6 linked regions of the Bombyx mori genome follow. The protein of the gene in region 4 purifies or fractionates together with the protein of the main gene of each other region. This does not show direct contact. Links are inferred from orthologs where the notes say so. Each region holds a gene or a part of one and is shown on either strand. Other genes may lie near its edges.

The links.
Region 1: the proteins of poly [ADP-ribose] polymerase (region 4) and Dnmt1 purify together in Homo sapiens (affinity purification with western blotting; 4 studies listed by BioGRID and IntAct, with this or other methods). This does not show direct contact. The link is inferred for Bombyx mori from reciprocal best matches to the Homo sapiens genes PARP1 and DNMT1.
Region 2: the proteins of poly [ADP-ribose] polymerase (region 4) and protein pangolin, isoforms A/H/I/S purify together in Homo sapiens (affinity purification with mass spectrometry; 3 studies listed by BioGRID and IntAct, with this or other methods). This does not show direct contact. The link is inferred for Bombyx mori from reciprocal best matches to the Homo sapiens genes PARP1 and TCF7L2.
Region 3: the proteins of poly [ADP-ribose] polymerase (region 4) and Rpa2 purify together in Homo sapiens (affinity purification with mass spectrometry; 3 studies listed by BioGRID and IntAct, counting the BioPlex papers as one, with this or other methods). This does not show direct contact. The link is inferred for Bombyx mori from reciprocal best matches to the Homo sapiens genes PARP1 and RPA2.
Region 5: the proteins of poly [ADP-ribose] polymerase (region 4) and DNA topoisomerase I, mitochondrial purify together in Homo sapiens (affinity purification with mass spectrometry; 4 studies listed by BioGRID and IntAct, with this or other methods). This does not show direct contact. The link is inferred for Bombyx mori from reciprocal best matches to the Homo sapiens genes PARP1 and TOP1.
Region 6: the proteins of poly [ADP-ribose] polymerase (region 4) and DNA repair protein XRCC1 purify together in Homo sapiens (affinity purification with western blotting; 9 studies listed by BioGRID and IntAct, with this or other methods). This does not show direct contact. The link is inferred for Bombyx mori from reciprocal best matches to the Homo sapiens genes PARP1 and XRCC1.

The regions. Positions count from the first base shown.
Region 1 is NC_085114.1:6,734,348-6,739,253, forward strand, and holds part of Dnmt1 (DNA cytosine-5 methyltransferase), read right to left. Parts: intron 4,052-4,906; coding exon 3,838-4,051; intron 3,742-3,837; coding exon 738-3,741; intron 1-737. UniProt on the Homo sapiens protein: Methylates CpG residues. Preferentially methylates hemimethylated DNA. Associates with DNA replication sites in S phase maintaining the methylation pattern in the newly synthesized strand, that is essential for epigenetic inheritance.
Region 2 is NC_085133.1:3,887,857-3,893,547, reverse strand, and holds the start of protein pangolin, isoforms A/H/I/S, read right to left. Parts: upstream 3,248-5,691; 5' UTR 2,613-3,247; intron 1-2,612. UniProt on the Homo sapiens protein: Participates in the Wnt signaling pathway and modulates MYC expression by binding to its promoter in a sequence-specific manner. Acts as a repressor in the absence of CTNNB1, and as activator in its presence.
Region 3 is NC_085114.1:7,172,151-7,177,626, reverse strand, and holds Rpa2 (replication protein A2), read right to left. Parts: upstream 3,656-5,476; 5' UTR 3,520-3,655; intron 2,885-3,519; 5' UTR 2,717-2,884; coding exon 2,707-2,716; intron 2,635-2,706; coding exon 2,564-2,634; intron 2,493-2,563; coding exon 2,271-2,492; intron 2,018-2,270; coding exon 1,832-2,017; intron 1,248-1,831; coding exon 1,042-1,247; intron 469-1,041; coding exon 384-468; 3' UTR 352-383; downstream 1-351. UniProt on the Homo sapiens protein: As part of the heterotrimeric replication protein A complex (RPA/RP-A), binds and stabilizes single-stranded DNA intermediates that form during DNA replication or upon DNA stress.
Region 4 is NC_085128.1:12,949,841-12,954,746, reverse strand, and holds part of poly [ADP-ribose] polymerase, read right to left. Parts: coding exon 4,804-4,906; intron 4,552-4,803; coding exon 4,446-4,551; intron 1,424-4,445; coding exon 1,240-1,423; intron 306-1,239; coding exon 83-305; intron 1-82. UniProt on the Homo sapiens protein: Poly-ADP-ribosyltransferase that mediates poly-ADP-ribosylation of proteins and plays a key role in DNA repair.
Region 5 is NC_085110.1:12,994,436-12,999,465, reverse strand, and holds the end of DNA topoisomerase I, mitochondrial, read left to right. Parts: exon of another isoform or gene 1-208; coding exon of another isoform or gene 209-351; intron 352-431; coding exon 432-1,729; intron 1,730-1,861; coding exon 1,862-2,138; intron 2,139-2,583; coding exon 2,584-2,686; 3' UTR 2,687-3,523; downstream 3,524-5,030. Other genes in the region: ATPase WRNIP1, read right to left, coding at 3,550-3,656, 4,971-5,030. UniProt on the Homo sapiens protein: Releases the supercoiling and torsional tension of DNA introduced during the DNA replication and transcription by transiently cleaving and rejoining one strand of the DNA duplex.
Region 6 is NC_085124.1:493,552-498,589, forward strand, and holds the end of DNA repair protein XRCC1, read right to left. Parts: coding exon 4,955-5,038; intron 4,596-4,954; coding exon 4,428-4,595; intron 3,976-4,427; coding exon 3,780-3,975; intron 3,420-3,779; coding exon 3,160-3,419; intron 2,797-3,159; coding exon 2,697-2,796; intron 2,635-2,696; coding exon 2,487-2,634; intron 2,411-2,486; coding exon 2,238-2,410; intron 1,967-2,237; coding exon 1,761-1,966; intron 1,647-1,760; coding exon 1,521-1,646; exon of another isoform or gene 1,515-1,520; intron 1,206-1,514; coding exon 1,068-1,205; 3' UTR 1,018-1,067; downstream 1-1,017. Other genes in the region: eukaryotic translation initiation factor 3 subunit F, read right to left, coding at 1-58. UniProt on the Homo sapiens protein: Scaffold protein involved in DNA single-strand break repair by mediating the assembly of DNA break repair protein complexes. Negatively regulates ADP-ribosyltransferase activity of PARP1 during base-excision repair in order to prevent excessive PARP1 activity.

The sequences.
Region 1 (4,906 bases), on a different chromosome or scaffold from region 4:
GATGTGCCGATTATTTTATTTTAATGTTCATCCTTTTTTGTTTTTAAACTGATTTTATGACCTGGTAACTAAGACATTTAGGTCAAGTTTAATTTAAATTTTAATGAAAACTTTTTTATATGAAAAATGATATTATGAAATGAAATGAGATGCGATGATATGGGATGAAATATAATCTCAGTAAAATGGTGGTCATTTACTGAGACTTTTTCAGGGTACTTTTTGGAGGATCCCGTGAAGTTACGTTCAGCGGCTTTATTATATTTTCTCATATTTGTGCAGTTTCACAGATACTAAACAGTTAATAAACCAATTAATTTTAATTACGTTTAAAAAAAACAATTATTCCAAGGGCATTTGTGTGCCTCTTTTTAAAGGGCTATCTCAAGACAAGTGGAAACATGACTTCACAATAAAATGAACTTGTATTACAATGACTGCTGCTTATTTTGAATGCATTCAAGAAATAAATTAGTCCATTGATTACCTATTTTTACTGGGGGTAGGACCTCTTGTGTGTAGGCAGATACCACCACTCAGCCTATTTCTGCCGCGAAGCAGTAATGCGTTTCGGTTTGAAGGGTGGGGCAGCTGTTATAACTAGACTGAGACCTTAGAACTCATATCTCAAGTTGGTGTCGGCATTTACGTTGTAGATGTCTATGGGCTCCGGTAACCACATAATAGCAGTTGGTCTGTGAGATCGTCCACCCATACATGCAATAAAAAAAAAATACCTTGCACTTAGTGCCATCGGAGAGAGTAACCGATATGTTGGGTAGATCTCTCCAGTCGGAGCCCGGTGTTGTAGGTATCCTGCTGATCCTAGCTTGAATCAATGGCGCCATGTTTTTACAGATGTGATCTCGTAGTTTAGAATTCTCATCGTTGCTTCGCACTAATCTCTGGAAATGACTTTCTGGCATGGAGCCATATTCGATTTCTATTTTATTAGCACCATTACATATTTGAGGCAAATCACTCATGGCGTCTTGAATGGTGCACGTTCTTTTTGGAGCCGACTCGTCCCAGTGAATATTAGTCGAGAACCTTTTGCCGTCAATCGTCGTTGTTAATGTACAAGCACGTCTACTGAAGACGTGCGTGGGTTCTGGGTAGAACGGAAGATTGTAACCCGGCGCTGCCGCCAATATGATCAACCTTCGTCTAGTTTGGGGAACTCCGTAGTTACCCGCTTGTAAGATACCAAAGGTACACTGGTATCCCATGTCCAACAAAGCTCGCAGAGTGAGTTTCAAAACCATACCTTTTTTAAAGGCCACAAAGTTACGAACGTTTTCCAGTATAAAATATTTAGGTCTGTAATAATCACAAAACGATAAATACGATGCAACTAATGAGTTTTTGAAGTTTGAATACTCTCTTGAATTAAAACGATTCATTCCGGAGAAGCCTTGACATGGTGGCCCGCCACATAAAAGCTCCACTTCTCCTTGCATGGGGAGCCGCAGTCCATTCGCGCTGTGCTTAGCACCAGACATTACAGTTTTCAAAAGTGCATTACAGTCTTCATTAAATACAATACAACTTTTATTATTTAATGAATAAGCATGAGAAGCAGCTTCCACGTTTTCAATAGCCCACTTGCATTCTGCAACTCCAGCTTGATGCAAGCCTTCTGATAGGCCCCCACAACCGGCAAACACGTCTAAAGTTCGCAACGGTCTAATTTTCTCCTCTACAACTTTAGCGGGAACCGTTTCAATAGTTTTTGTAGATTTTCCCTTCCCCTTCCCTTTATCTTTAGTACGATCTGTTCTTCCAACACTGATGGCATTCTGCGGGAGATCCGTGAACTCTCCCGTGGACTTACAATACGCCATTCTGAAGTAGAATCTGCACGGATCATTTCCTAACCATTCTTGAAGTGAAATATTTTGGGGAACATTTTGTTCATAAATTAAATGACAATGCCCAACGACGGTCGAAAATGGAATCTCCCTTATTTCAGTTGTCCAATATAAAACATTAGTGTCCTCGTGCTGCGGAAATTTACTGCTCGTGTTTTCAGGTCTAAGCAGCACATTCACTTTCAGGTAAATATCTTGCGGTACAACTAGAGGTCCCTCACTCGCGGCAGTGACGGCAGCTATGTAACCCACACAAAAAGGTTCCCCGGTATCAATATTAGACCCACGCGTATTAGAATCGTTCTTCCTATAATATTCAGGATAAATAGTTTCATCGACTTTTTCAAACCGCGGTTTGGCAACAGTGTTCGCTTTTGTCATACTATTTTTTAGTTTAAAGGTTCCCGGTTTTAGGAAAACACCACAACCCTTCTTATAGTCAAAGTCTTGCCATTTTACATATGACCATTCCGACCTGTTTTGTTCTGAAACAATTTCGGATTTCACAATCAATTTTTCAAAAACTTTAGGAATGTTTCTTGCATCTCGTTTTGTTTTACGTTCACAAGATGGGCAGAATCTGTGCTTTCTTAAAGCATTTGGACACGCTGGATCTGGAGGTAAATCTTCAAAACGCGACGTGAACCTGTCGTAATACTTGCTATAAAAATAAGTTCTTCCATCATCCTCGAAATGTTCGTCGTCTACTTCTTTCCCGCCAAGTTTAAACCAATCTGCTGACGTCTCTTTCCTTTCTATATTCGCTTTTCTTAATATGGAAGAAAGCGGAGCACCATGGCAACATCTGTCGCCCAAAAATACTTCTCTTGGGTCACTCACTTCTCCTAAAACTGTGTCCGAGGCTCGTATGAAGACTTCTCCGTGAAAATAGCCTGATTTCGGGTTATGGATTTCTTTCCACATGTATACAACTTTAGCGACCAGTGTAGGAATGTTTGTTTGGGAAGTTTCAATCATGACAAAGTCACCATTACACAGCTCAGCACCATCAATTTCAACTTTTTCGTAATATATTTTTGTGGCATCAGCTTTAACAGGCTCACCAATCCATTTTAAATTTTTACTATTTGACCCAGTGAGCTTGACTGGTACTGCATCATCTATTTTGTCTTGTTTTTTCTCAGATATTTGCTGATACTCATCTTCATCATCGGGATCAGAATCTTCTGCCTGTTCTACTGCCATATTAGGACATAATCTACGGACGCATGCTTTCTTAGTTCTTCCATGACCACCGAATTTAGCCATGGCACGACATGCATTACATTCGCCGCAATCAGGCAATTGACAGGCTTCACAAACCCCGCATCGTTTTCTTCGTAAGACCAGTTCGTGATTGGTTTTGTCTAACTGATTTGAGAAAAAACTTTCAAATGTTTTTCTTACAAGTGGAGTTGTTGTAGCTTTTGTCCATGCTTTCTTATCTGTTTTTTTGTATTGTATCTGGGTACGTATTTTTCGTTTACCGAATTTTATGCCCATTAATTTGATAAGTTCTCTCATACAAGGTAATGTTATTAATGGTTCATCATCTTCCTCTATTTCTAAGCTAACTACTTGATCACAAACAAACTGGGCATGTTTATGTAGCATTTCTTCTGTCATCTTTTTATTATTTAGTTCAGGAATGGAAAAATCTCTTACAACTTCAAGTAAATCTTCATAGCTCGGTTGCAAGTAGTGATATTCTTCTAAGAATTCGACGACTACTTTGCTAAGCCATATTTTTTCATATAAATTATTCATTAGGGGCGTATAAGCTTCACTAGGTTTGAGCAAGTTATATTCCCCAAATTCCGTTGATAAAGTTATACAGTTCCTATCTCCACCATCGAAACCATGTATGAACCTGATGGTATGTAAATTAGAAGATTAATAATTCACAAAAAATAACAAACAAACAAAAAGATTTTTTTTATGTGGTCATGATAAGTGAGATACATACCATTCTATTATAGGACCTACATCTTTAACTGGAATGGATTCTTCGTCAATCTCTGATGAATCAGAGCAAATTGACTTTAAATATCCAGACATATAAATTCGAACATCGTTTTCTACCAAACCACCATCAATTGGACACAAATGTCCTTGCTCATCAAATATTGTAAAGCCAGTTATATTTGTTTGGGGTCGTTCCATTATGTCTCCATCTTCCCCTTGAATAAGTACATTACAATATAATTAAATTACAATATAATATAACAAATGTTCACGATTGACTTCCACGGTGAAGGAATAACATCGTGTAATGAAAATGAAACCCGCAAAATTATAATTTGCGTAATTACTGGTGGTAGGACCTCTTGTGAGTCCGCGCGGGTGGGTACCACCCCCTGCCCATTTCTGCCGTGAAGCAGTAATGCGTTTCGGTTTGAAGGGTGGGGCAGCCGTCGTAACTATACTTGAGACCTTAGAACTTATATCTCAAGGTGGGTGGCGCATTTACGTTGTGGATGTCTATGGGCTCCAGTAACCACTTAACACCAGGTGGGCTGTGAGCTCGACCACGCATCTAAGCAATAAAAAAATTAAAATTTAGACAGCTACTGCATATCTAGATTTTTCTCCCTAGTAGCTCCTCTACAGAGATAACTGTCATTTGTTCTGTAACTCTGCAGTGGAGCCCAATGCTATTAGCATGATTTTTGTGATTTTAAAGTAATGAAAGATATTGTGGAAGACAATATATACAATACAAGTAATTCTAAAAGTATACCACCAAAGAAACAATGAATGGGAAATATTGAACGTGATAATGAAGATTTGCTGGAAGAAAAGTTCCTACAAATTCTTTGCACCCAATGCAATATTTTAAATAATTTATCATAAACAAAGAAAAGTCAGAATGCACAAGGGCGATGTTTCCAAAGACATCACATCATTGTGAATTACAAAATTTAAAATGTATCTTTCATTTACATGAAGTAAGTGTGTACATGTAAAATCAATAACATGTGTAAGCATGTGTAATTCTTCTCACTTAAAATAAGACTTCTTCTTCACAAACGTCT
Region 2 (5,691 bases), on a different chromosome or scaffold from region 4:
TTTGCTAGCACGCTATATTTGTCAGCGTTTGAGTTTTTATGGTAAATAGTGCGCAGATCAAAAAGGTTTTTATTCATTTTATTTTGGTAGAAATATGTTTTTGGTGATGCACCGGGAATGACGCGTGACGTTTTTATACGAGTAGGTATTACAAATATGCCTTTTTTAGGTTTTTTTCGATTGCAAATGTAGTTTAGTTAAATCAAAGGCTATTTATTCAATTCAATAATTTTGCATTTTTTTACGAAATATATTTAATTGAAAAGTTTATTGAAATTAACAGATGAACTTCCACCATTACTTCTAAAATTTGTATTTGATTATGCACATTTTAAATGCACATAATTAAAAAAATACGCTCTTCTCTTTAAGTAACTATTTTCTGTACTTGCACATTTTTTTGTCGATTGGCAGAAAAAATTAAAAAACACAACTGAAATAGTACCATCGGGAGGGCCGTACGCACGTCTATCGACGACAAAAATAATATTTAGACCATTTGTCATACTAAAGTATGTAGTTTAAAATGAGGTTAATTTCCGACTTTAATATGTTGATATTCTATCTGTATTAATAAGAATATTCCAAAAGCACTTTTTCAATTAATTAAAATTGTAACAATAAAGTTTTTAGTTGAATGTTTTCTACCTGTTTCGGAATTGTAACAGTTTGGTTTTTTTTTGGTGAAAATCTGACATATTTTCCCATTTTTTTTACACATACTATACTAACAGAGAACATATTACGAACAAAATTGTTAAGTTTAAGCTTCTGTAATAATAAAACATACACACATTTCAATAGCGCGGAAATCTCGCTGTTCTCTTCCCGACGGGAAAAAGTACGTAGAAATATATTGCACTGTATTTAAAAGCCTATGGCGCCATTTCGAACCGCCATTTTCAGATCCGTACTTGCATTTCCAAACACGTTATTTATAAATAAAAAAAAAACGTTAGTTTAAAATGTTGTAATTTTCAAATGAAGATTATTCGAATAAGTGTAGCTAGTTGAACCGAATCATCGGTATTGTTAAATAAATTTTTTTTATTGCCTATGTGTGGACGAGCTCACAGCCCACCTGGTGTTGAGTGGTTACTGGAGCCCATAGACATCTACAACGTAAATGCGCCACCCACCTTGAGATATAAGGTTCTCAGTACAGTTACAACGGCCGCCCCACCCTTCAAACCGAAACGCATTACTGCTTCACGGCAGAAATAGGCAGGGTGGTGGTACCTATCCGCGCGGACTCAAGAGGTCCTACCACCAGTAATTACGCAAATTATAATTTTGCGGGTTTGATTTTTATTACACGATGTTATTCCTTCACCGTGGAAGTCAATCGTGAACATTTGTCGAGTTTAAGCACGATAAAAACTCGACTATTTGTAATTTTTCACACTATTTTCCGGTCTGTTTACGTTAATTTCAATACCTAAGATCAACGCAATAATCACGGCCAATTATTTATATAACTATGAACATAATAATGTGGTTAATGTAGCCAATGAATCATTACGTGAAAAAACTCATTGCAAGAGTTAATTTTCTCAGTAAGTAAGTATAATTACGTATCTAAGAAGTATAATTACGTATCTAAGAAGTGTATGTTTCGTAGTTATATATAATAATTGTAATACTAAATTAAATCCAGGTATATACGCAAAAGATGTGCCATAGATTATTTAGTGTTACCCAATGGTAAAAAATAATAAAAATATGTATTTTGTTATTTGTTTTGGTGTACTTACTTTAGTCAATAGTATTATGAACATAAGTATAATTTAAAAAGTGTATTAGGTATTTAACTGAAAAAGTATGTAAAGACTAAAATTATAATCGAACTGACCATAGAGTATAAAATATAGGTATCTAACGGAAATGTTTTTATTTATTTATTTTTTACCGTATAATATGTGACCACTGGGTATACCTATGTGTCTTTGTTATGAAATTGATTTGTTTACTTTTATAATAAAAGAATACAAGGGAGTTTACTAGATGATAATGTGTTTTATCAACAATATTGTATGCGAGATAGGAATCTAGTTTTCGCGTTACGAATGTTAATTAGGTAAGTACTTTTCATTTTTATTTCGTATTATTATGTTATCTACATACAATTTGATTTTAAGATCTAAGTATATGTTTACGACATTGAATTAAAAGTCACAAATAACGATTTAGTCGTAGACTGACTGCTATAGTTAGCAGCAACATGGTATTTTTCAAACTTGACCACAGAACTAACGCGAGTAGATGCAAAGTTCAATGCTCACGCGCTCACATCGCTACACCGGCGGCGATAACAGATTAATTACTTCGTAAATTACACGACACACTTCGACGAAACTGATAACGGACGGCGGACTGAGTCCGATGCACGTAAAATACGAAAAAATCAAACGGATGCGGACAGAAAATATTTCACGGTCGACCGTGTAAACGAAAACATAACGTGTAAATAGCACGCCAGCGGCCACACGCCGCGGTCTTAGACTCACGCGAAATCTGTCACCGATTACAAAAATAACGAGAGCCGGTAGCGAAAATGCAGGCCACCGACCCCTTCGACACTGATGGGCCATAATTAATCGGTCTCCACATACCTAAACACTGCGAGCATGGCGCACTCCACGCGCCTAAAACTCCAATATTTGAAATATTTCACTATCCGTTTGACACAACACGCACGTTACATTCTCGTTATCACACACTGTCGTCGCTTATTGCACTCGCGATGCACGTAATGTGGTACACTGGTCATTATTTTGTTTATCGGCGTCAGTTTGACGGAGAAGCGCGAACGGGCCGCGGCCGGCCGGGAGTCGCGGGTACACTGCACGCGAGAGCGGCGAGGCGCCCGACACGCACACAACTCGGCTCGTCTCACTCGCACAGATACAGCTCGGTGTGCACCGACTCAAGCTTACAAAAAACCAACGATCGGTATGCAGACGTTCGGTTTGAGCAGGTCCTCGGCTTGACGCTGTTTTCGTCTGCGGTCCAGGGTTCCCGGAATCCGAACCGCTTCTCCTCACCGTTCTGTAAATACAGGCTTCATTCCTATAATTAATTAAATATAATCGAGCTCAATACATAATTGTAGTTTATAATTTAAACTAATTGTTATTGTCACGAAATAAGTAGGTAAGTAATATTAACCAATTCTTCAGGCCATTTAAAACATTTAAAATTATTATTTCTATGGTTGTAATTTGTTTTGTGCATCAATAAAAAGAAAAAAAAATTAGAAAGCGTTTAAAACGTTTAGTACCTAAGTTAATACCACATAATAAAATTTATGAAATGTCGAAGATCGGAAGTACAGGTGAAGCAAAACGTTACTCATAAATTTATTATTAATAAAAAGCGAGAGTGCTTAAAATATTTGAAATCTAGTAATGGTTCTTGGATTTCAAGAGAAACTTATATATAATTATCATTTGATTGTTTCATTCTTTCTAAAATACTGAAACATACTACGATGTCGTTGTATTTTCTCAATATTCTTGAGCTGAAATATTACTTAATGAAAAAAAAGGTAAGTTTTTTATTCACACAAGAATTGGGAACCTGTCTTTTTTATGGCAACATTAAAAACAAAAGAACGGCAGTCAGCGAACCTTGAGTGGGCAGGCGATACGATTCGAGCCTGCGCCCGAGTCAGCGCGCCATGTTGCCGACGGCAAGATAGAGATGCCGCCCTACAAATGTAAATGTTTCTCGCTCGCACGCTTGTTAGCGTTATTGCGTGCCGTAACTATACTCGTCAGCGCTGTACCACACACCCACACGCACGCATTGTTATCTTCACAAAATTTATAACGAGTCCGATTTGGTCTGAGTCTCGGACACTCCTAAATTCTTTGCGGAAGGATTTTTTTTTCTTTCGATCCTTGGCCGAGATCGACCCCAGAGGCGTTATAAAATTATAATGGTCGCTAAACGTTAACAAAGTTTGTTTTGCGTGATTCAGTTTGTAATTTTGGCAACACCGCCGATACTTTTCGCGGGTGTTACACACGTTTTGTGAATGAATAAAACTATGAATGAAACATTCGTGTAATTTACACCTATCGGATATTGTAGTACAATCATGTTTATAGCGGTTATGTGACTTTGAGTTTGTAGGTACTAATTTTATGACAGCATTGCATAGACTTGGTGGCTTTAGTATTTAATCCAACTTTTTTCTTCTTGCGTGGATGACTGAGATGAAATAGTCTTGGACAGTCATCCTTCAAGGTCACCGAAGTTCATAACACAACGTTCCGTCATAAGTTTTCAATTTCACCAGAGCTGACACAATTGAAGTTTTCTGTTAACTCAACTTCATCCTTTGCGTCGCGGCAAAAATTTCAACAAAACAATTAATGCCGCAAACATAACTACTCGAGACAGGTAGGATAGTGAGATTTAGGCAGGACAGAAAGTTTTTCTTCGAAACGTTTTGCTTAATAAACAATGTCAGAGGAGTAAATTATGTTTAATAACCACACCGTAACTTATTACAAAATCGGGGACTTTTTGGCGGGAACGCGAAGAGTGAAGTTGTGTGATTTGTTTTATTTTGTCTATTTAGTGTTTCTTCAGGTTTAAATGTGTAATAATGGTGGTTTATTAACTGTTTAATATCTGTGAAAGTGCACAAATGTGGGAAAATGAAATAAAGCCGCTGGACGTAACTTCTCGGGATCCTCTAAAAAGTCCACTGAAAAAATCTTAGTAAATTACCACCATTTTACTGAGATTATATTTCATCCCATATCATCTCATTTCATTTCATTTAATTTCATCCCAGTTGATTAATGTCTCAAATTCATCATCTTCATTTCATTTCACTCCATAATATCATTTTTCATAAAAATATGAATATAAATTAAAATAAGACATGACTTAAAGGTCTCAGTTACCAGGTCATAAAATCCCTTAAAAATTTTTACAAAATCGGGTGGTATTGTAGAAATTACATCTAGAAATACATGGCGAATGAATGCATTGACTTCAAGTAGTAGGGATGTACTCTGTGGCACGTGTAAAAAGGAAATGACGATATCATTTTAACAAACCGACTGTTTTTGTTCATGACCGACTTCTAAGTTTATGGTCTATTATTGTGTTATAAATTATATGTAAACATATTTATTCATGTTGAACTTTTCTTCAATGAAGTAATTAATAATTGATTGGAAGGCTGGTCAACCGTTATTGTGAGCTGCCGACCTCATGTCCAAGACGGTATGTATATGAACATATTTAACATATTAATATGATATTTGGGTCTATGCAATCGGATTGTAATAAAATCATATTTTTTCATAAATTTCTTCTAATTTCATAATTTTGTAGTAGTCGTGGCCTAAAGGATAAGACGTCCGGTGCATTCGTATGTAGCGATGCACCGGTGTTCGAATCCCGCAGGCGTGTACTAATTTTTTTAACGAAATACGTACTTAACAATTGTTCACGATTGACTTCCACGGTGAAGGAATAACATCGTGTAATAAACATCAAAACCTGCAAAATTATAATTTTCGTAATTACTTGAGGACCTCTTGTGAGTCCGCACGGGTAGGTACCACCACCCTGCCTATTTCTGCCGTGAAGTAGTAATGCGTTTCGGTTTGAAGGGTGGGACAGTCGTTGTAATTATACTTGAGACCTTAGAACTCATATCTCAAGATG
Region 3 (5,476 bases), on a different chromosome or scaffold from region 4:
CGGCATGCCCGGGCGACCTTTTAGGGCCGACGTACCGCGGAAACCGGCATCATTGGTGGTCGATCATCGCCTCAATGAATCGTCGGTCGGGCGTCCTCGAGGTGGAGCCGCGGGTCTGGTTACACAAAGTGAAAATCTCGCTTTGTATAATTGGTGATCTTGTTTCAGGATGTGTTGTCTACAGGGTCAGATGGAAGTCCTGCTGATTCAAGTATCTATTAATACTTACTTGAATAAAATAATTCTGATTTTGGTGTACCCCTGGAACACTCTTGGTACCTATTCACTAACCAGGTTTAAAATTAGCTCAACTAGAGCAATAACAAAAAATTGGTACAAAATATTTATTACATAAAAGTTTTAAAAAATGAAATATATAACTTTTAAAATGCATCAGTTGCTCTAAAATGCTCTTCATCAATTGTTGAGTAGATATGACCTTCTCCACACATCCATTCCAAAATGTTTCTGCAAGTAATCATAAAAAAATTAAAACCCTTTAATTTTTCTATACTTAATTTTAAATTTTTATATTATACTAGCTGACCCAGCAGACTTTGTAGTGCCTCAATCGATAAATAAAAGACCTAAACTTTTGTATAAAAGAAACTTAAAACAAAAAAAAGGAATTCGTCCGACAAGGGACACATCAAAGTAAAAACAAAATTGTTATTTTTATTTAATTTTGAGGATTTTCATATTTATCTACCTTTTAAGCCTTCTCTGGACTTCCACAAATAATTCAAGACCAAAATTAGACAAATCGGACCAGCCGTTCTTGAGTTTTAGCGAGACTAACGAACAGCAAATAATTTATATATAGATAGATAGAAGATAGATTTAATCTTTTTGTATGTGTGTTTGTCACTAAACTCCTAAGAAAAGGGGCTGATTGTGATGATTTATTTAAAATCTAACTGCTTTATTTTTTTCCTTTCAACTCTATTTTTAAGTTATCATTTACTATCAGTTATCAGTTATAATTTATTGGGGTAAAAATGTTTGAATTAAAATTTAGTATGTTGATTAAAAAATACATACTCAAATTCAACTTTTGTCATTCGATCTTTCAGTGAGGCATACATATCTTGTTTACTAATTCCTTGTTCAACAGTAGAGCCACGGATAAGGTTGAAGACCATCATCTGACGAGAATTTAAGCCATTCACTGAAGAGGTTTCAGTAATTCCAACCATTGAATTTGCAGGCAGCATGTTGTTAATTGGGACATCTTGAATATTTTTTTCCTGCAAAATAAAATCCAATTTATGAAGTAATGTATAGCAAAAAACATGTAGGCGGAAGCACCATTCATGATGGGACATAATAATCCACAGCAATGATGCAACTCAAATGCACTAGCAAGAGCTGAATGATAACTAAATTTGTAGTTCTGTCTTTATCAGAATAAAGGGTTCAAGTTTGAAAATAGTAGATTATTATTTTAAAATAAAACTGAAAAAAAGGAGAAGCATGTTGGATGTGCTGAAATTCATTTTATATGAAAATTGAAATGGTAAGTCATTGCTGATGAAGAAGACATCATTTACATTGCTGAAGAATCAATAACAAATAATACTATACTATGACATATTTTTATGTACTGTACTGTAATAAAAATATCTGACAATTATTATCAACTCTTTTTGTTACATACAAGAACTAAATATTTCAAATACAAAATTCATGTGTATTAAGCTAAATGTTGCTTAAACCAAATAGTCTTTAACCCCTCAAAATATTGTGTTATAAGTAGTTACTTCTGCCTTTAGCTATGGTGAATGGAAATGCGAATAATAAATTTTAAGATTACCAGGTATATTAGAATTACCTTCTTTGAGCCAGCTTCCATTTGTATTTTATTATGAATGCACTGAAAGTAGTGAAATGTAATAATGTTGACATCAGTAACTGGCATTATCTTAAATGCCATGAGCACTTTTGTCCCTTTATTCGTTTTCACATTGCCGTAAATTTGTATGTAATCATTTACTTGAACTTTAGGTGATGAGGTATCCTGAAATTGAAGCTCAGAAAGATTTAATATCTGTTTTTTTTTATGTAAAATACTCAATATCTAAAGAATCAAAATGGCATATACTTAAATATTCAAAAAGCACAGAATAAGTTTAATAACTTAATCTGACTTTGAGATTTTTTTATTTTTTTTATTACCATGATTGTGGACATGATTAATGGATTAACTCATTTTAATTAATGATTTCGTTTACATTGACATTACTCTGAAACTGGAAGTAACTTTCACTTACTTCAACTTCCATAGCCTCTTGGTCGAGCCAGAGTACAGCCCTCATCCTCCCTGTTATATCTTGGATTGTATATGTTATTTTAGTGCTTTGCATTCTAATGCTCCTGATTCTTGCAACTATTGACACTATTTGAATTTCTGTACCCCATATTTTCACACCTTCTTCTCCAGAATGCAAAGCTTGCCTGATGACTATAGGTGCTGTCCGTGCCGCTCTACGACCCTGTGAATAAATGTATTATTAATATATTAAATTTTCGTAATCAATTGAATTTTATTTTTTTGTAAACTTACAGTTTTTTTGGGTGTTGCCGTATTTCCAAATTGATTTGTGGTGTTAAGGAAGCCACCTCCAGAAGGATCATCTGAATGTAACAAATTCTAATTAATACAGAAAAAACTATAAAGATAACCATGTAAATGATAAAACAACAAACCATTCCACATTGTTTTAAAGTAGAGGTCAAAATTGTTAGTTGAAGACTATTCTAGTAACAGCAGTAGTACAATGCACTAAACAATTCCGAACCGATCTTAATAGAAAAGGTAGTATGGTTTAATTTTTTTAGTTTTGATTCTTATTCCTGTAAACTTTTTTCAAGCGAGTAAGCCACTATAGTCGGATTTTTAATTAGACGAAGCTAGCTGACAGTAGCTAATGTCACTTTGTGAAATAATGTTGCTATATTTAAAGTAATAGTGATGCGTTCAGTTCTCGTTCAATCACGAATGAACAATGAGTGTGAAGAGTTAATCATTAATTTCAAACTATAAAAGAGTACTATTTATATTTTACAATAAAATTGTATTAAAGTGCTCCAATATATGTTGCTAGTAGTATGTAACTACAATCAGCTTTTTTATTTTCATTACTTACCTATAATTGTTATATTTTATACATCTATAATTTCAACTATATGATGTATTGGAAATAGGACAGTCTTACAAGTACTTCCTCGCAATGTTTTTCTTAATGTTTAAAACACTCGGTATTCAGTACAGGTAGATATTATAGGAACATAATATTTCGTCGAAAACTCGTTGGTATGTACAAAGCACGCCTAAAATTCGAACCCCGTACCCGATATCGGCAATTCGGCACACCAACTGTTCACTAGACAATCGAGGCAATTTCATTAATTCAGGAGTTTTTTCAATCGTTCACTTTGTCACAACACTATTTTTATTTCATCAAAAACTGACAACACAGTAAACGTCAGTTGACTTCGTCTAATAAAAAATCCGACTATAGGTTCACATATTTTATCTTCCAAAAGATGATGATTTATTTTGTTTCAGTAACTTTTAACAGTTTTAACCAAAATGTCCCTTTGGAGTTTGGCCAGACAGAAGTCTCAATTAATTCCCGCCATTTTATAGATTTTTTTGAATTTGTTTAGTGGATAGGCGAAGGGAATCTAGCCGAGAATATAATAAATATTAAATATTCTTTAATTCACTATCTAACATATTCAATTACAAGTAACATTACAAGTACAAGTGATATTGTCTGAGAGTGTAAAGGCGCCATATGTGCCGCTCCCTGTATCTGGCCTCCAGTCACCTCCTTGAGTTGGTCCACCCATCTAGCTGGCGCTCTTCCTCTAGCGCGCTTTCCCTCTATTTGTCCGAGAATTATGAGTTTCTCCAGGCTGTGCAATGAGGATCGCATTATGTGCCCAAAAAAACTCCGGATCCATTCCTGGCACATAGTCAGCAGGCGCTTGGTGACCTTCAGCTCTTCGAGGATGGAGACATTGGTTCTCATAGCTGTCCAAGGAATGCGTAGCAGCTTTCTCCAGCAATACATTTCAAAGGCCTCGATCTTTTTGCGTTCCTTTTTCCTGAGACACCAAGTCTCCACCCCATACAGGAAGATAGAGAAGACCAACGTACGAACCAAACGCATCTTAGTTACTCGGCGAATATTACGGTCTTTCCAGATTTTATTGAGGCTAGTCATGGCACTTTTAGCCATCCCGATACGGCGTCCGATTTCTTTCTCGCAGTTACCACTGTTAGAGATCAGCGACCCCAAGTATATAAATTCCTCCACTTTCTCATAATCCTTGAGCGCATTTGATGGACTTAAAACTTGAGCTCTGTCCACCGTCATCGCTTTGGTCTTAGAGCGGTTTATGTGCAGGCCAAATTCAAGGCTAACTCTCTCTATTCGCTCCAAGATCGCAGCCATCTCGGACTCGCTGGCTGCAAGGATTGTTGTATCATCGGCATATCTTAGATAAGATACACCACTATTTTAACTAATGTCCCTAAGAATAATATCCACTGACCTTACTTACTTTCTATTAAGGCCAAAGGCTTTGTTTGGCTTTGTTAATGAGTTCTGCAGATGATAAAATGAGAATCATAAAAATATGGATTAAAACAAGATATTTAGACATTACCCAGCCATTACCATTATTATTATAATTTAAATAGGTGGCACTATAATTCATTTAAGACTCTCTAAGATGAACATTGAAAAATACCAAATTATGATTAAGATTTATTGAGTGGCAAATAAACTTAGGGCTCACCTGCCGGTCATCGTTCTCCGTCGAATCCGCTGCTTGCGCACTGCTCTTGCCAGGGTTAGTGTTAGCAACGTCATTATGTTTGAGCCCCGTGAGCTCACCTACTTGTTAGGGTTATGCTGAAATAGCCTCTCAAGACTATCAGCTTAGGTAGGAAAAAAAGCCTCACCTGAAAGTTTTTTTTAACATTTTTTTTATTGCGTATTTGGGTGGACGAGCTCATAGCCCACCTAGTGTTTAGTGGTTACCGGAGCCTATAGACTTTTATAACGTAAATGCCGCCACCCAACTTTAGTTAAGAGTTCTAAGGTCTCAGTATGGTTATAACGGCTGCCCCACGCTTCAAACCGAAACGCATTACTGCTTCAGGGTTGAAATAGGCAGGGTGGTGGTACCTACCCGTGCGGACTCACAAGAGGTCCTACCACCAGTAAAGGTCTGTACTTTTTTGGTTTCTGTAACGGTCAGATAAAACTTTCTTTATATTTTACTGCATTTTCAGGCCTATTCCTGTCACGAAGCAATCATGCGAAGCTGTCATTTAACAACTATTTGAGACTTAGACCTCGAGTGCTAAAGTGGCGATATTCACATTATTGTGATATCTACAGGTTCCAACTGGGCCTTGAGTTCGGTCCCCATCTAAACAGGATCTTTTGCAAAAATATAT
Region 4 (4,906 bases):
AGATGTGATTTCAATATAGAATTAGCCTTATTGCAATACATTGTGTTAGCACAATAAAAGCACTTTAAATGTTCGTACTTACTACAATATCTAGATATTGTATGGATTGCATTTTAGAAGACATTTTCTCGACATCCGCTTTAGTAGAGATGACTGCGACCGTAGCTTCAGACAGTTTACTGACGGGGTCTCCTCCGAGCTTGATAATGCGATTCTTGATATTCTCCTTTTCATTCTTCTTCAATGTTCCGTAAATGAAGAATTTCAAGTTTTTCAAAGGCGGCACACGGATTTCTTTTTTTACTCTGAAAAAAAGTTATAAATTTTTCTTTCACTGATGCATACTTAGAGAGGCCTGTTAAAATGTTTTAATATTATAAAGGAAAAAGAACGCGTGGAAATTGGTCAATGTGACCTAATTTTGAATTTAATGACAGTATTTTCCGAGGCTTGACGAGTGCTCGTATCGAAGAAAATAAAAACGGTAAGCAAAACGTTGTAAAAGGAAATGAATACAAACGGGAGATTAATCGCAAATTCATTTAAATTAGTTCATTATTTTGGCTGACAGTATAACTATATATTCAACCTGCTTTTAACGTCACGATGCTTCTGCTTCAATTACGGATTTAATATGCAGTGTAGTAATGTATTAATGTAATTCATGAAGATAACTGATATATTTATGGAAATCAAGGAATTTAGAGGAATAAATAATTAATCGATGGCGGGCAAGTAGTGGCGCGACTAGAAGGTAGGTACCGTATTAAAAAAATTACGCAACGTGGTATAAATTTGATTTTAGCAACGAGTTTGTGTGATCAGTTATGTTAAATACACAACTAGCGACCCGTCCTCGCTACGCTTCGGAAACTGTAATTTATAATTGATTTCTCCACTATTTAATGGATGTTAATCTATCTTTCTTTTAAAAAAAACCGCATCAAAATCCGTTGCGTAATTTTAAAGATTTAAGCATACATAGGGATATAGGGACAGAGAAAGCGACTTTGTTTTATACTATGTAGTGATATAATGCGTTCAAAGCCCGGGTAAGAACATAAAGCACGGATGAACAATCTTTTATAAGGATTTTATTATGTAAAAAAATATTAATTTAAAAAACAACTAGGTACATAAATGCGAGAGTTGTGAATTGTAAACAATTGAAAGGGGGAGACCAATATTCAGCAGAGGGTGTCTGTGAGTTGAAAGAAAAAGAAAAAAGGTAGTTCTTACTCTGTCTCTTCTTGTTTCACAACAAAGTTTTGTGATGGAAGTGGAGCGTGGAACAAACGAGTGCGGACCGTGGGCTTAAACGAGCGGAAACAATCAAGCTCTTTGTATTTTTCTGGTATTTTCAGAGCCCTCCTCTTCGGTTTATCAGTTTGATAGGTACATTTGGTCCACTCGCTCAAATTACCTGATTGAAAAGACAGATTACTCTAAAAGTTTACTCCTGATTTATTATTTATTTTAACTTGTTATTTATTATTATTATATTGGAATAACAGTTATTTCAGAATTAGAATGTGTGTATATCTAATTTTTAAGGGGTTTATGTATACAGTTGTCTAACGTCAAAATTTTATTTACATTACATAGTATGATTCGAAAGGGTATACCTATATGAGCATTTCTCAAAATAAATGCACCACCAATAAAATAATGTACAAAAATAAAAATGTTAAACTAAAGCATTTTTTTTGTTTTCATTTGTAGATAGGTGTCTATAGATTTTGAATATGAGGTTTGTTCTGAGGTTTAATATGTAATAAAGTAGAGAAATGTGTACAAATATACCAAGGGCGGAGAAATATTCTTATTTTGTTACCGTCTATCAATTACGTTAATTAAAACACCAAATCAATTTCGTCAACTTTTATGCATTTCAATAGGGTGACATAACCATCATTTTACGTGTCTATAAAAAACTGTTAACATTTACAGCAAAATGTTACTTATATAAGTTGTAATATATCCTTTACGTTACCATTTCCCCACAACTTTGTTTTAAAATCACAGTAAAGAAGTTTTGATGTTGTTTTATTTTTAAATACGTTCACAAATGAAATAACAATACACTTCTGTTGCTTTTTTAAAAAAAATTGCAGGTTTTAAGATAATAAATAAAAAATTTGAAAAGAAATACGTGTCCGCTTTTATGGGACAGTAACAAAAATGGAATACTGGTAACAAACTAGGATTTTATAAGGCTAGTTTTCGAAGTAGTTCAAATTATAATAAACTTTGACCCGTGTTAAAAATAATTATAATTATATTTACATATGTAGATTATAGCATGAACTGCTGTCAAAGGACATTTAAACATTTTTCGTTTAAAAAATACCCCATTCAAATATTTAGGAACATTTACGAGTAGGTAACAAAAATATCGTTTCAGTTATTTTTTAATCATAATGAAACGGAGGCCTAACGGTTTCTAATTCAGTAAAAACCTTTAATAGCAATAATCACATTCATCGGCTGGATAGTGATCGTATAAATTATAATCACATCTTTGGCACCAGAAAAATGGACAACGTAATAATATGTTTATTTCTACAGCGTTCATACTTGATACAAAATGCAGCGGATTGTTAGACGAATCTGGAATAACATATCGGTGCCTTGATAAAATGTGTCGAAGAAAAAGGCCATGATAGGCCAAGGTGTAAACACAGGCACGCCACTTTTGTCTTTGTTTATTTTTTTCGTCTTCTGACATCTCACTTACTGATTTATATAAATATTTAGATTTTATCCTTTCTATGTTTCGTATTCGCTGCTCCTCCATCTTTTGTGGATTTTCTTTAAGGCTTTCGCGGTAGCGCCTCATTTTTTCAGCAGAGGTTAGAGTCGAACCCGTCGCTTGGCGAACGAAGGGCTCGACGAGCGAATTAACCCCATAGACACAGCCCACTGAGTTTCTCGCCGGATCTTCTCAGTGGGTCGCGTTTCCGATCCGGTGGTAGGTTCTGCGAAGCACTGCTCTTGCTAGGGTCAGTGTTAGCAACTCTCCGGTTGAGCCCCGTGAGCTCACCTACAAACGTTAGGGTGAAGCTGAAATAGCCTCTCAAGGCTATCAGCATAGGTAGGAAAAAAAAAGTGTTAGTGTAAAAGAACCCTTTTTTTACGTTACCCAGAACAACAGATATTTTGAAATTTAGCCCACCACATCAGAAGGAATATCATGCAGTAGTTCTCTCTTTACTATGATCGCACTTTTAGATTAAAACAAGCAGATATTTAAAAGCCGCATTTGTTTTTAAATAAACTAATCAAACTGATAGAAAAATACTAACAAAAAACTCCCAATCTATTTCATAGTACAAATCTGTAATAGTACAACAAAAAAACAAAGAAATTGACGCCGTTGTAATTGCAATAATTATTATTTGCAAACAGAAAGTTAAATAATAATAATAATATATTATATATACTCAGCCTAATGATTTCCTATTTTGTTACTCTCTTTTCCATTTATACGTTACCACACAAAAGTAACAAAAAAAGAAGTAACAAATCAAGAACAACATGTCATTTTATTTGTAAACACATGCAACTCACACGATTACTCTTATTTCGATTTGATTAACGAAATCAAGAATGGGAGCTTTAATAGTAGGTTAAGTGAAATAACAATAAAATCTGCACTTATCTATGTTTTATGAGTAACAAAGGTGGAATTTTGTTCTGACCGCTAGCTTAAATATTGACTTTTACCGTTCGTACCGGCACCAGAAAGAACTAGTCGAAATTAAAACAAGACGGATGCCAAGCCGGCTAATGCTACCATTATTCTAAAATATAATTGCATTAATCGATTCTCATATTTCTTCAGCATTATGGTAACAAAAACTGGAATTTCTAGGTGGAACTTTTTACGGGACAAGTTAAAATCATTAATTAGAAATTTAATTATACTTAAAGTAATGCTAAAAAGGATGTTTTAGGATGAATTGTGACTTATGGCTATAAATAAATAATATTTTTTATTTATACAATGCCCATGTCCATTCAACTAAAGATCGATGGTTTGGTAAGATATTGAGATTAGGACACTGCACTTTTCATACAACTGGTTGAAGCTGATTTATGATACATATATATTTTTAATGAAAAAATCTCATTGTATTTATATCTGTTATTTTTCCTTTCTAATAAGTAGAGTAGTTATACTGCTTACACAATTTATAAAAAGTAGTAATGAACTAATATATTAGCCGGAACAAAATATTAAAAAAATGGGACAGAGGCTAAAGTCTATTGTGCAATAATTTTGAGAAATGCTCATATATGTGTTCAAGTGTATGCGAAATTTTAACCGGTATTTTATGAGAGTTGTGGTACTGCATTCAGGTTGGATGTATATGGACTCAGGTAACACACTAAACACAAGGTAGGTAAGAAAATAGAGATAAAAAAAGAAAAAACAAAGATACCTGTGCATTTATAGCCAAGGGTATCTAAAACTAACTGCCCTTGTTTACATTCAGGACAGGCCTCGAGAGCTCCGAATGTCATACAATCTGCTAAACGATCAAAACACTGAAAAATAAACAATGAATAAATATAATACGAATCCTATACAGTGGTACAAAACTAAAGATGTTAATTATTATTATTATAATAAAATACCTAAAAATATTTCTGTGTTACACATGTATGTAGAAAAAAACCATTTGACACTAAAACGGAGTTCTTTCTACTTTGATTGCACTTTGTTGAGGTCAATTATATTGACACCTGTTACATGTGACGGTAGTCACAAAAAAACTATTGTATAGTGCATAGACTCACCTCAGTCTTTCCTGTTGGGATTCCCTGTAAATTGTACTCCAAAATTTTTTCTACATCATTTTTATTTGTATTCATTAAAGCATTTCTATGTTTATCAAACAAT
Region 5 (5,030 bases), on a different chromosome or scaffold from region 4:
CTTCATATCTAATTTCTACCAATAGATGGCGTGACATATCCAACCTAATTCAAGCATTGTCAGAAATAATTTGTCACATAACATCTTGATAGCATTTGACGTTGATAGAGGCTACCCCTCAAACATTTTAAATAATTCGAAACATAAGTGATCAAATTAAGCTGGATAAAATTCGTCAAATCATTTTTAGTTCGATATGTAATTGTGAATGTTCTTTTTTGAGGTTATATTGGTTTTATGGATTATGTTTAAAGTTGTGAGTGTTATTGTGTGGAATAACAGTCCATTTTTACGTAAAGTATCATTAAGTTCTGTTTTTACCAGACACAAGCGACGATTTCCAAGAAGCAAGTTGGTTTTAAATGACTTTCCATTAACAGTCAGTTTTTTATATTTTTAGCGTGCACTTTATATTTTAATGTTTAATACAGGTGGGAAGAAGAGAAGACCGATGATGGAACAAAATGGACATTTTTGGAACATAAAGGCCCTGTGTTTGCTCCACCTTATGAACCTTTGCCTTCCAATGTCAAATTTTATTATGATGGTAAAGAGTTGAAACTATCTGAAGATGCTGAAGAAGTAGCAGGATTTTATGCACGCATGTTGGAACATGATTATACCACCAAGTCTGTTTTCAACACCAATTTTTTAACTGACTGGCGGAAAGTGATGACTCCGGAAGAAGCTAAACTTATTAAAGATTTGTCCAAATGTAACTTCAAAGAGATGCATGCATACTTTCAGAGTGTATCTGAAAAAAATAGAAATCGATCTAAAGAAGAAAAGGCTGCTTTAAAAGCCAAAAATGAAGAAATACAAAAAGAATATGGATTTTGCACAATAGATGGTCATAAAGAGAAGATAGGGAACTTCCGAATAGAACCCCCAGGGTTGTTTAGAGGTCGAGGTGAGCACCCAAAAATGGGGAAATTAAAGAGACGTGTTATGCCTGAAGATGTCTTAATCAATTGCTCAAAAGATAGTAAAATACCAAAACCACCTTCAGGACATAAATGGAGAGAAGTAAGACATGATAATACAGTTACATGGTTAGCCTCTTGGACAGAGAATGTTCAGCAGCAAGCTAAGTATGTCATGTTAAATCCCAGTTCAAAATTGAAGGGTGAAAAAGATTGGCAGAAATATGAGACTGCTAGAAAACTTCATAAGTGTATAGACAAAATTAGAGAAAATTACCGTGCTGATTGGAAGGCAAAGGAGATGCAGGTGCGCCAAAGAGCAGTGGCACTATACTTCATTGATCGATTAGCACTTAGAGCAGGTAATGAAAAAGATGATGAACAAGCTGACACTGTTGGTTGCTGTTCATTAAGAGTAGAACATATCCAGTTACACAAAGAAAAGGACGGTAAAGAATATGTAGTAGTGTTTGATTTCCTTGGTAAAGATTCAATAAGATATTACAATGAAGTGCCAGTAGAGAAACGTGTATTTAAGAATCTCGAAATATTTATTGAGAATAAAAAGGACAGTGATGATCTCTTCGACAGACTTAACACACAAACTTTAAATGAACATTTAAAAGACTTGATGCCAGGTTTGACTGCCAAGGTATTCCGTACATACAATGCTTCTATTACCCTACAGAAACAATTAGATGAGCTCACTGATGGTGATGCCTCTGTGCCTGAGAAGATTTTAGCTTACAATAGAGCAAACCGTGCAGTTGCCATCTTGTGCAACCATCAACGTGCTGTACCTAAGGGTAAGTGTAACTTTTGTTTAAATGATTTGTTTCTTATGTAAAATAAATTGGATATGACATCCCCAATTAAACTGATTCCATTTCTTATAACTATTTAAAAACTGTTAAAGTGATTCACATATTTTATTTAAGGACATTCTAAGTCCATGGAGGCTTTAAAAGAAAAAATTCAAGCTAAACGGGATCAAATTGATGAGGCTGAAGAAGACCTTCAACAAGCATCTAAAGCAGCAAAGCGAGGTTCTGTTAAAGAAAAATTAGCATGTGATAAGAAGAAAAAGGCACTTGAACGTCTCAAAGACCAACTTAAAAAACTGGAACTGCAGGAAACAGACAGAGATGAAAATAAAACCATTGCCCTTGGAACATCGAAACTGAATTATTTGGATCCACGGATTTCAGTAGCATGGTAAGAAAAATGAACAAAATAACATTTTTTGCGCCTATAATGACAGCATCCAACACAATAATTTCGAAATGTTGCATGCTATTAAAATTAAATGAAGGGTTCAGCTCTCAAGCAGGTGGCAGGTTCTCACCTGTGGAATATCTGGAAAGACTACGCTGGTTCTCGCTACTAGGTGACCATCTGCCTTTTCTGCTTTTGCTTTCATTCCTGCCACCCTTAAATGTATCTGACAACCATGGCGTGCCAAGGTAATTTGATATTCTGCAACTAAATTGCATTCAAGTAGGACATGAGCTGCTGTCTCACCTAACCCCATGAAGGCTGCACAGAGTGATGCCAATAACTAATAGATGTTTGTTACAAAGACTGATCTATCAGCAAAATACCATGGGTACAGATAAGCTATAATCCAGTTATATAATAAAATTAACTATCTAATTTACAGGTGCAAGAAACATGGTGTTCCAATTGAGAAAATATATAACAAAACGCAAAGGGATAAGTTCCGATGGGCAATAGACATGGCCGGGCCAGACTATGTCTTCTAGTTTCAATTTTAGAATAATTAGCAGCTCTATTTTTATATGTTGAATATAACGTCCCAATTATACAAAATGATGTATAAAATCAGTTTTATGAACTTACATTTTACAAAGTTTACTATGTGATGATGTATTTAAGGTTCAAGTAAAGTTTATGTATTAAAAAATCCGAACATTGTTCCTTCTTTTTTAAATTAGAAGTCTGATTCTAATTATTTTATTTAGTTTGGACTTAGTTCTCGATCCCTTTTTAGGTTATTTAGACTAATATGATAGTTCAAGGAATTCTAGTTTTAAGATTTTGTGTAAGACTTGCAACTTGGTCAAAAATTTGTTCTCATTTACAAAATAACATTTAGCTAGCCATAATGATAGTATTATCTGAAAATAATTCTTATAATTAAATTACAAGTTGCTAGTCACTTTTATAAAGAATGACAAAATGTTGTGAATAAGTCATTGTGATGTGTAAATACACATTGTAAATATTAGTGAGGCTCATAGTTCACTAAAGTTCAAATGCATAAATAATAATGTTGAATGTGCTTGTGAAAATACTATTCGGTATTGTGAATAGTGAAGAAAACTTAACTAAGGCTAATTTAAAAGAATATTGTATCGAAAAGCAAATGATGTTAGAAAACACTGCAGTGGTGAATCATGTAAAATAAAATAAAATGTAATGGTTACTTTATTTTTATAAAACAAAAAGCAATAGCTATATAAGATTATGAAAGGTACAATTCTGTAGTGTGTTATATGTTCATCTTGTAAATATAAAATTTTTACCATGTCATAAAATTGTGAAATGAGATTATCCTAAATAAAAAGTGACATTAGGAACGATGTCTTTATTTATTTTCAATATGTTAATCGCCTTCGTATTCCTTCTGAAAATAATCACCTTCAACTCCTGCTGGCAAATAGGTAAGTCCAGATTCTTCCTTACTCAGGAGATTGTATCCACTTCCATACCCTGAAACAGTCATAATATAGGTACTCTAGCGCTGTATTGAGTGCAGATTGGCTTTCATATCAAATATTGATGATTTATAATAATAAGGGTTAATGTATGAAGTTGCCGTTTTATTGTAATAGGAAATTACTTCGAATTGATATAGAACCTTCATGGTTTGAGAGTTAGTGAAACTTTTTTTCAAAAAGTACCTATGAGGTTCTTCTTTTTAAAAATGTCCAGCATTCGATCATCAGCTTTTAGAAGATTTTTTTATTCAGTTTAGACAAGAAAGATGGATACTTCGAAAATTCGTGTGATTGTTGAATACAAGTTCCGACGCGGAACTAACGCTGCAGAAACAGATCGCAATATCAATGTTGCGTTTGGAGAGGGGACTGCTAATGAACGCACCCTGCGATTTTGGTTTAAACGCTTTCGTGATGGAAATTTTGATGTGAAGAACGAACCACGTGGAAGTCTGCCCACACATGTGAATTACAATGAATTGAAAGAGTTGGTGAAAGCGAATCCGAGCCAAACCGATCTGATCAAGCAATAACGGCCGATGTCTACTGTGCCGAACTCCGAACAATTATAGCAAAACTTGCAGTGAAACAGCCCTCATGAATCGATCTTCACCATTATTGCTCCATGATAATGCGAGACGTCATATAGCACGAGAACCCGAAATTAAATAAAGTAATAAACAATATATGTCCGGCATATTTCACACAAATCTACAAAGTCATGTATGCTAAATCGAAGTACGAAATAAATGTTTTCTCTATGAATAGGTATTATTTCATTAATTTATGTTGACGAAAGAGAGTTAGCGGCCAGGGTGATCACAGTTGCTTAATATCAAGAAATTCATTTGTATTTATATACTTTGTAATTCGAGGACAACATTGAACTGCCTTAAAACATAAGCCTATCTGACCAAGACAATACAGATACAGCAAACTGAGGATTTTTAAATATTTTTGTAATATTGAAACAAAGCCAATAAACTCGTAGGGTTAAAGTTAATTAACTGCCTAATTGTTATAATGGCAGCATAGTTTAGATTATGAATACAAGTTTATTCAATTAAGTCTTTCTCACGAAAACTTGAAATTCCATTCAAAACAAGACGAATAATGGGTACAGTTTTGTTGTAACAATTACCGCATAATGGACAATAGTATTTATTTTCGACTGCCAGTGCCAGAGGCATTAACTTCAGATATTTTGATTATAATAGTTACAGACCCAGAACACGCTCATATTTTTAATTGTTAATGAAGTTTTAAATTAAATACTGTCATATTTTTAGGTTTTCAGCGAACTAACCTATTTGCTTCATTAGCTTGGTCGGTGCATTCCGTAAATGTAATGGAACTGGTGGGAGAG
Region 6 (5,038 bases), on a different chromosome or scaffold from region 4:
CGTCCACAATTTGAAATAAAACAACAGGATGGACCTTCACACTAATATTGAGAGCCATTTTTAATTCGACCAAAACTACAAACCCAGAAACACAGAGTACAAGAGAATATTGTAGGTATTATCTCTGCTAATTTTAATTTTTTTAGGGATTTTATGAACTGGTAATTAAGACCTTTAAGTCATGTCTTATTTTTATGAAAAATGATAATATGGAGTGAAATGAAATAAAATGAAGATGATTAATTTGAGACATTAGGGTCAATTCCCACTGAAAGAGCAGCGGCGCGCAGCGGCCGTAAGAGCAAGTGATTGAGCGCGGCGCCGCAAGGGGCAGTGTGGCGCCGCGCGGGGCAGTGCGGCGCCGCGAGAGGCAGCGCGGCATCCCGAGGCGCCGCAATGAACCTCCGCGTAGTAGCTTTGAAAACTAGTGTGCGATCTACTTCACTCAAGGAAAGTTGTGTGGCAATAAATATGGTGGATTTGGATTTATGTATCATAGCACTGGCTGTAGAAGAAGAACAAGAAGTAACAAACAAAACGGAAAGAAAAAGGAAAAGAAAATTTTGGGTACATTTTTTTCTCACGGAGCGTAGCACGTTCTAACTTGATACCCTCTAATAAAATGACGCGAAATGCGTAAGCGGCAGGGCGGGCGGGTATGAAATGGTCGCTCGCGCGCAGCCGCGAGTCTGTTAGCTGCACCGCGGTCGGCCGCACGTCAGCTAGCTGCGCCGCGATCAGCCGCGCGGCGCCTCTTTTGACTAGTCGGTAGAAGGCTCGTGCAGCCTCGCGACGTCACGCTACCCCTCCTTTGCCTTCAAATGACTATGAACTTTTTAATCACGTAGATAAGATTCAAAATAGTTTGTAATATTTTGCCTAAAAAAGACGCTGCCGGCCGCTGCTCTTTCAGTGGGAATTGACCCTAATCAACTAGAATGAAATTAAATGAAATGAGATGATATGGGATCTTAGTAAAATGGTGGTCATTTACTGAGATTTGTGAAAGAAAAGGCGTTGTTAGCTGACAGTTATTTAATGAAAGGAATTCACAAGTTGAGCTGTCGTTATATTGGACACAGTTTTCGTTGTTGATGACATTTCCACAGCCAGGCTGCAGTGACGGCGCGGCCCTTGATTCGCGGCGCGGCGCCGTCGTCGCACACCACGTAATCTACGCGGCTGTCCTCATCCAGCTGAGACTTCTGAAAAATGTACATTTGTTTAAAATTAGGAAAATATGTATATTTATCCAATCATAGAGGAAATGTGACAATCATGAAATTTTTTAACTATTTTGAATTAATATAAATTTATATAAATATAAATATAAGAATATAAATTTATTGCTCTTGTAGGCAGACGAGTATACGGCCCATCTGATGGTGAGTGGTTCCCGTCATCCATGGACTTCAGCAATGCCAGGAGCAGAGCCAAGCCGCTGCCTATCGTTAAGTACTCTCTACAAGCCTCGTTTGAAGAAGGGCATGTCATATTGTTGTGCCTGCAGCACGAGCGACCTGCAGCACGCGCCCCCCGTAGGCCCGCAGGTAGCGCCAGCAGCGCGCCCGCAGTTGTGTGTCCCCGGCCTCCACCGCGAACGTTACTCCCTCAAAGAACGCCGGCAGCGACTTGCTGTCGTCTATCTGGAAACAATACTTAATATTTAAAAAAAAAGTAATTTTTTTTTTTTTTTTATTGCTTAGATGTGTGGACGAGCTCTATTACTAACTAATCCGTTAGTAATAGAGTGTACGTGCCGCGTGCTCGGCGCCGCTGTCGGCCCCAGCGTCGGTCTCGTCCGAGTCCGACTCGACCGCGAGCGACGCCTTGACTCGTTCGTCGCACACGAACTGCACGTCGGGCTCGCCGCTGCCCCCCCTCGACCCTGTCGCGCCGGCGGGGGGGCTCGGCGCCCGGCCGCGGTCCCGCACTTCCTCGTCGGTGTCCGCTGACTCGTCAGTTTCTGGACGACAAGTAATTGGTCAAAATTACGTTTTAATTACATTTTTGCCTAATTTGTAGGCAGCAGCTTGGCTCTGCCCCTGGCATTGCTGAAGTCCACGGGCGACGGTAACCACTCACCATCAGGTGGGCCGTATGCTGGTCTGCCTACAAAGGAAATAAAAAATAATAATAATAATTAATTTTGTATTGTGGTTTAAAAATATTGGTAGCGGCGTCCGTCTGTTCTTATTAATGAATGAGCAATCGAACTGTCGGCGTGGTGCGTGAACCTGCAGCGTGTGGTGGTGCGGTGCGCTGGTGCGGCTCCGTGGCGTAGGGGCGCCAGGGCACGCGGCGGCGCGCGCGGCGGCACGCTCGCAGCCAGTCCGCGCGCACGGCGGGCACGGCGCCGCCCGCCACGCGCCGCACCTCCTGCAGCTTCGGCGTGTTGGGGAACGCGCATCTGCCGGCGACACGACGCTGTACTCCACGTGGCACAACGGACATTACAACATGTCGGGAGGTCGGAGGGCACGTACATGAGATGCGTGCAGGCGGGCCCCCAGACGGGCTCCCAGCGCGCCCCCAGCGCGACCCCCTCGCGGCGCAACTCTTGGCGGAGCGGGTTCTGGTAGCCGCTCAGCACGAAGCGCACGCCGCGCAGCACGTCCGCTGCGACACACGCGACTGTAACATATACTAATGACACCAGCGGTCAGGTGTGGAGTGTAGCGGCCCGGGCGACTCACCGAGCTGTCCCCGGGGGGCGGGCGCGGTCCCGGCGCTGTCGTCTCGCTTCACCCGCTTTGCTCTCGATGATATATTGTCTATATTTTTCTGGACTTCTTTCTGTGATCACACAATATGGACATCAGTATCACCCCTGATGACTAATACAGTATAATAGGATAAGCCTTATTTGTCTGTTCGTCACCGCAAGCCGTGAGCCGGGTCGTCGAAAGGCGACTTACGGACACTGGGTACCGCCGTCTTGCCTATATCCGTATTCCAGTTTATAAACGAGAAGGCTATTATACAATACAATTGACATTTCGACCTCACGTCTCAGGCAACATTCGCGTTGTGAAGTCAACGGGTTGTTCACCGCGGGTTGGCCCGTCCTTCAACCAAATATATATTCCCGGCAACAACGCGACAGGCGTTCCGCGCCGCTTCCGCCGCTCCTGCATCTGGTGGACAAATCTAGCTCACCGGGTCCCCCGCGCTATTGTCATCGGTCATCTTGTCACCCTTATGTCTATTAACGGTTTGGTCTATTTTTGCATGGTGTCTGGTGTCCTCTTCATCGTGCATCCGAGCGTCCCCGTCGCTGTCGGAGCGGCGCCGCCCGGCCGGCCTGTTCTGTTTGCTCTGTCGGAGTGTGGCCGCCGCGCTGAGGCCGGGGGAGGCGGCGGGGGAGTCCCCGGGAACGTTGCGGAGCGCGCGGGACGTCGCCTTGTGTATTTGGGATTCTGAAAATTGTATTCTGTATGAAAGCTGCGAGACGTACCCGCAGTTAAGCACTCGTCTAAAGTTTAAACGGAAATAATATTAAGTTAAATAAAATTTATATTGTAAATAAATAAAATTATAGAGCAACCCCGGGGCAAACACCGACGTGCCGCGGCCCCCGGGTGCCGGCGCCGGCCGGGGCAGCCCGGGGCGACAAGCCGTTCTACTGAACCGTGTTTGAACTTCGTTTCCTAACTGACTAATATTAGGTATTCATTTATAAACATTATATCCAAGAACATGAAAATTGTGGTTCAGAATTGGCAGCTGTTGAATTATCGACCTTATTGACAACACCGCTCAGTTTAAAACCTATTTACCTGTACTCGCCGGGCTGCTAGTTTTATCGTCCCCCAGTTTCAGCGGACTATCCTTCTGGGTGTAGTATTTAGCGAATAATTCCCCAGGTTTGAACTCTTCCTCGTCCGACGAGAAGGTGTCCAGGGCGAGGGGGCGCGGCGGCGCGGGCGGGGGTCCGTCCCCGGGCTCGTCGATGTGCAAGAACGAGAGGCCGAACTGAAAGGTTATATTAGTTTGAAGCCATGAACAGTTTTATAAAAATGAATATGTACTCTTATGAATATCATCAATAGCATCTCTGCCAGGTCTCGCGAATCGAAGACACAGCAAAACTATTTTTATATCCTAATGTAACAATTTTAATTCATCCTCATCAGCCTGCGGCAGTCCACTGCTGGACATAGGCCTCCCCCAAAACTCGCCACTGAACCCGATATTCGGTTCTACGCATCCAGTTACTGCCAGCTGCCTTGCGCAGGTCGTCACTTTATCTAGCAGGAGGACGTCCTACCCTACGTTATTTTAATGATGTTTAAAAAATTTAATTATGTTTTACTATTAGCGATCCTCATGACCGCGGGTTTTAGTAGTGTTTAATACTTATTATATATTACTTATAAAATATTAGTTAGATAGATAGTTATTAGGGCAACCGGGGCGCATGGTACCTGGCAGTGCCTGTTGTAGGGCTGCGCGCACACGACCCGCAGGCGGTCCCAGCGGCGCCCCCGGGCCGCGGCCGCCAGCTGGTCGCCGCGCCACGCCCGCACGCGCTGCACGCCCTCGGCGCGCCGGGACTCGCTGGGCGACAACATCACGCTGCTGGGGACCAGTACCTGAGCATGTCTCTCCGGTCACTCCACTGTCAATATCTATGTTTGAAAGCGACGGGCAGCAGAAGCAGCCGGGTGCCGGGATATGCCCTACATGATCCCTTGAGTTTTTCAATCCTATTTTTATTCTTATATAAAATTATAGACCCTGTTATTCATGGTGAAGACATTTGTTGACATCTTCAGATATGATGATAACCAGAGTAAAGCTACATTTTTGAATGTAACCTTTTTAGTGATTCCAAAGTACACTATTATTTTAGAAGCCTCCATATTTGAAACTGTTCCCTCCTAAGCATCCTAGATATTCATCAATTACAAGACCCCTAATGCAAAGTTCCCTAACAGTTGAGTAAACATACCTCAAAGGGTTCATCAGGTTTTTCAGATCTTCCAACGAGCACCTCCACAGTAGCAGCATGATGCACACCAAGATAGACTGATGA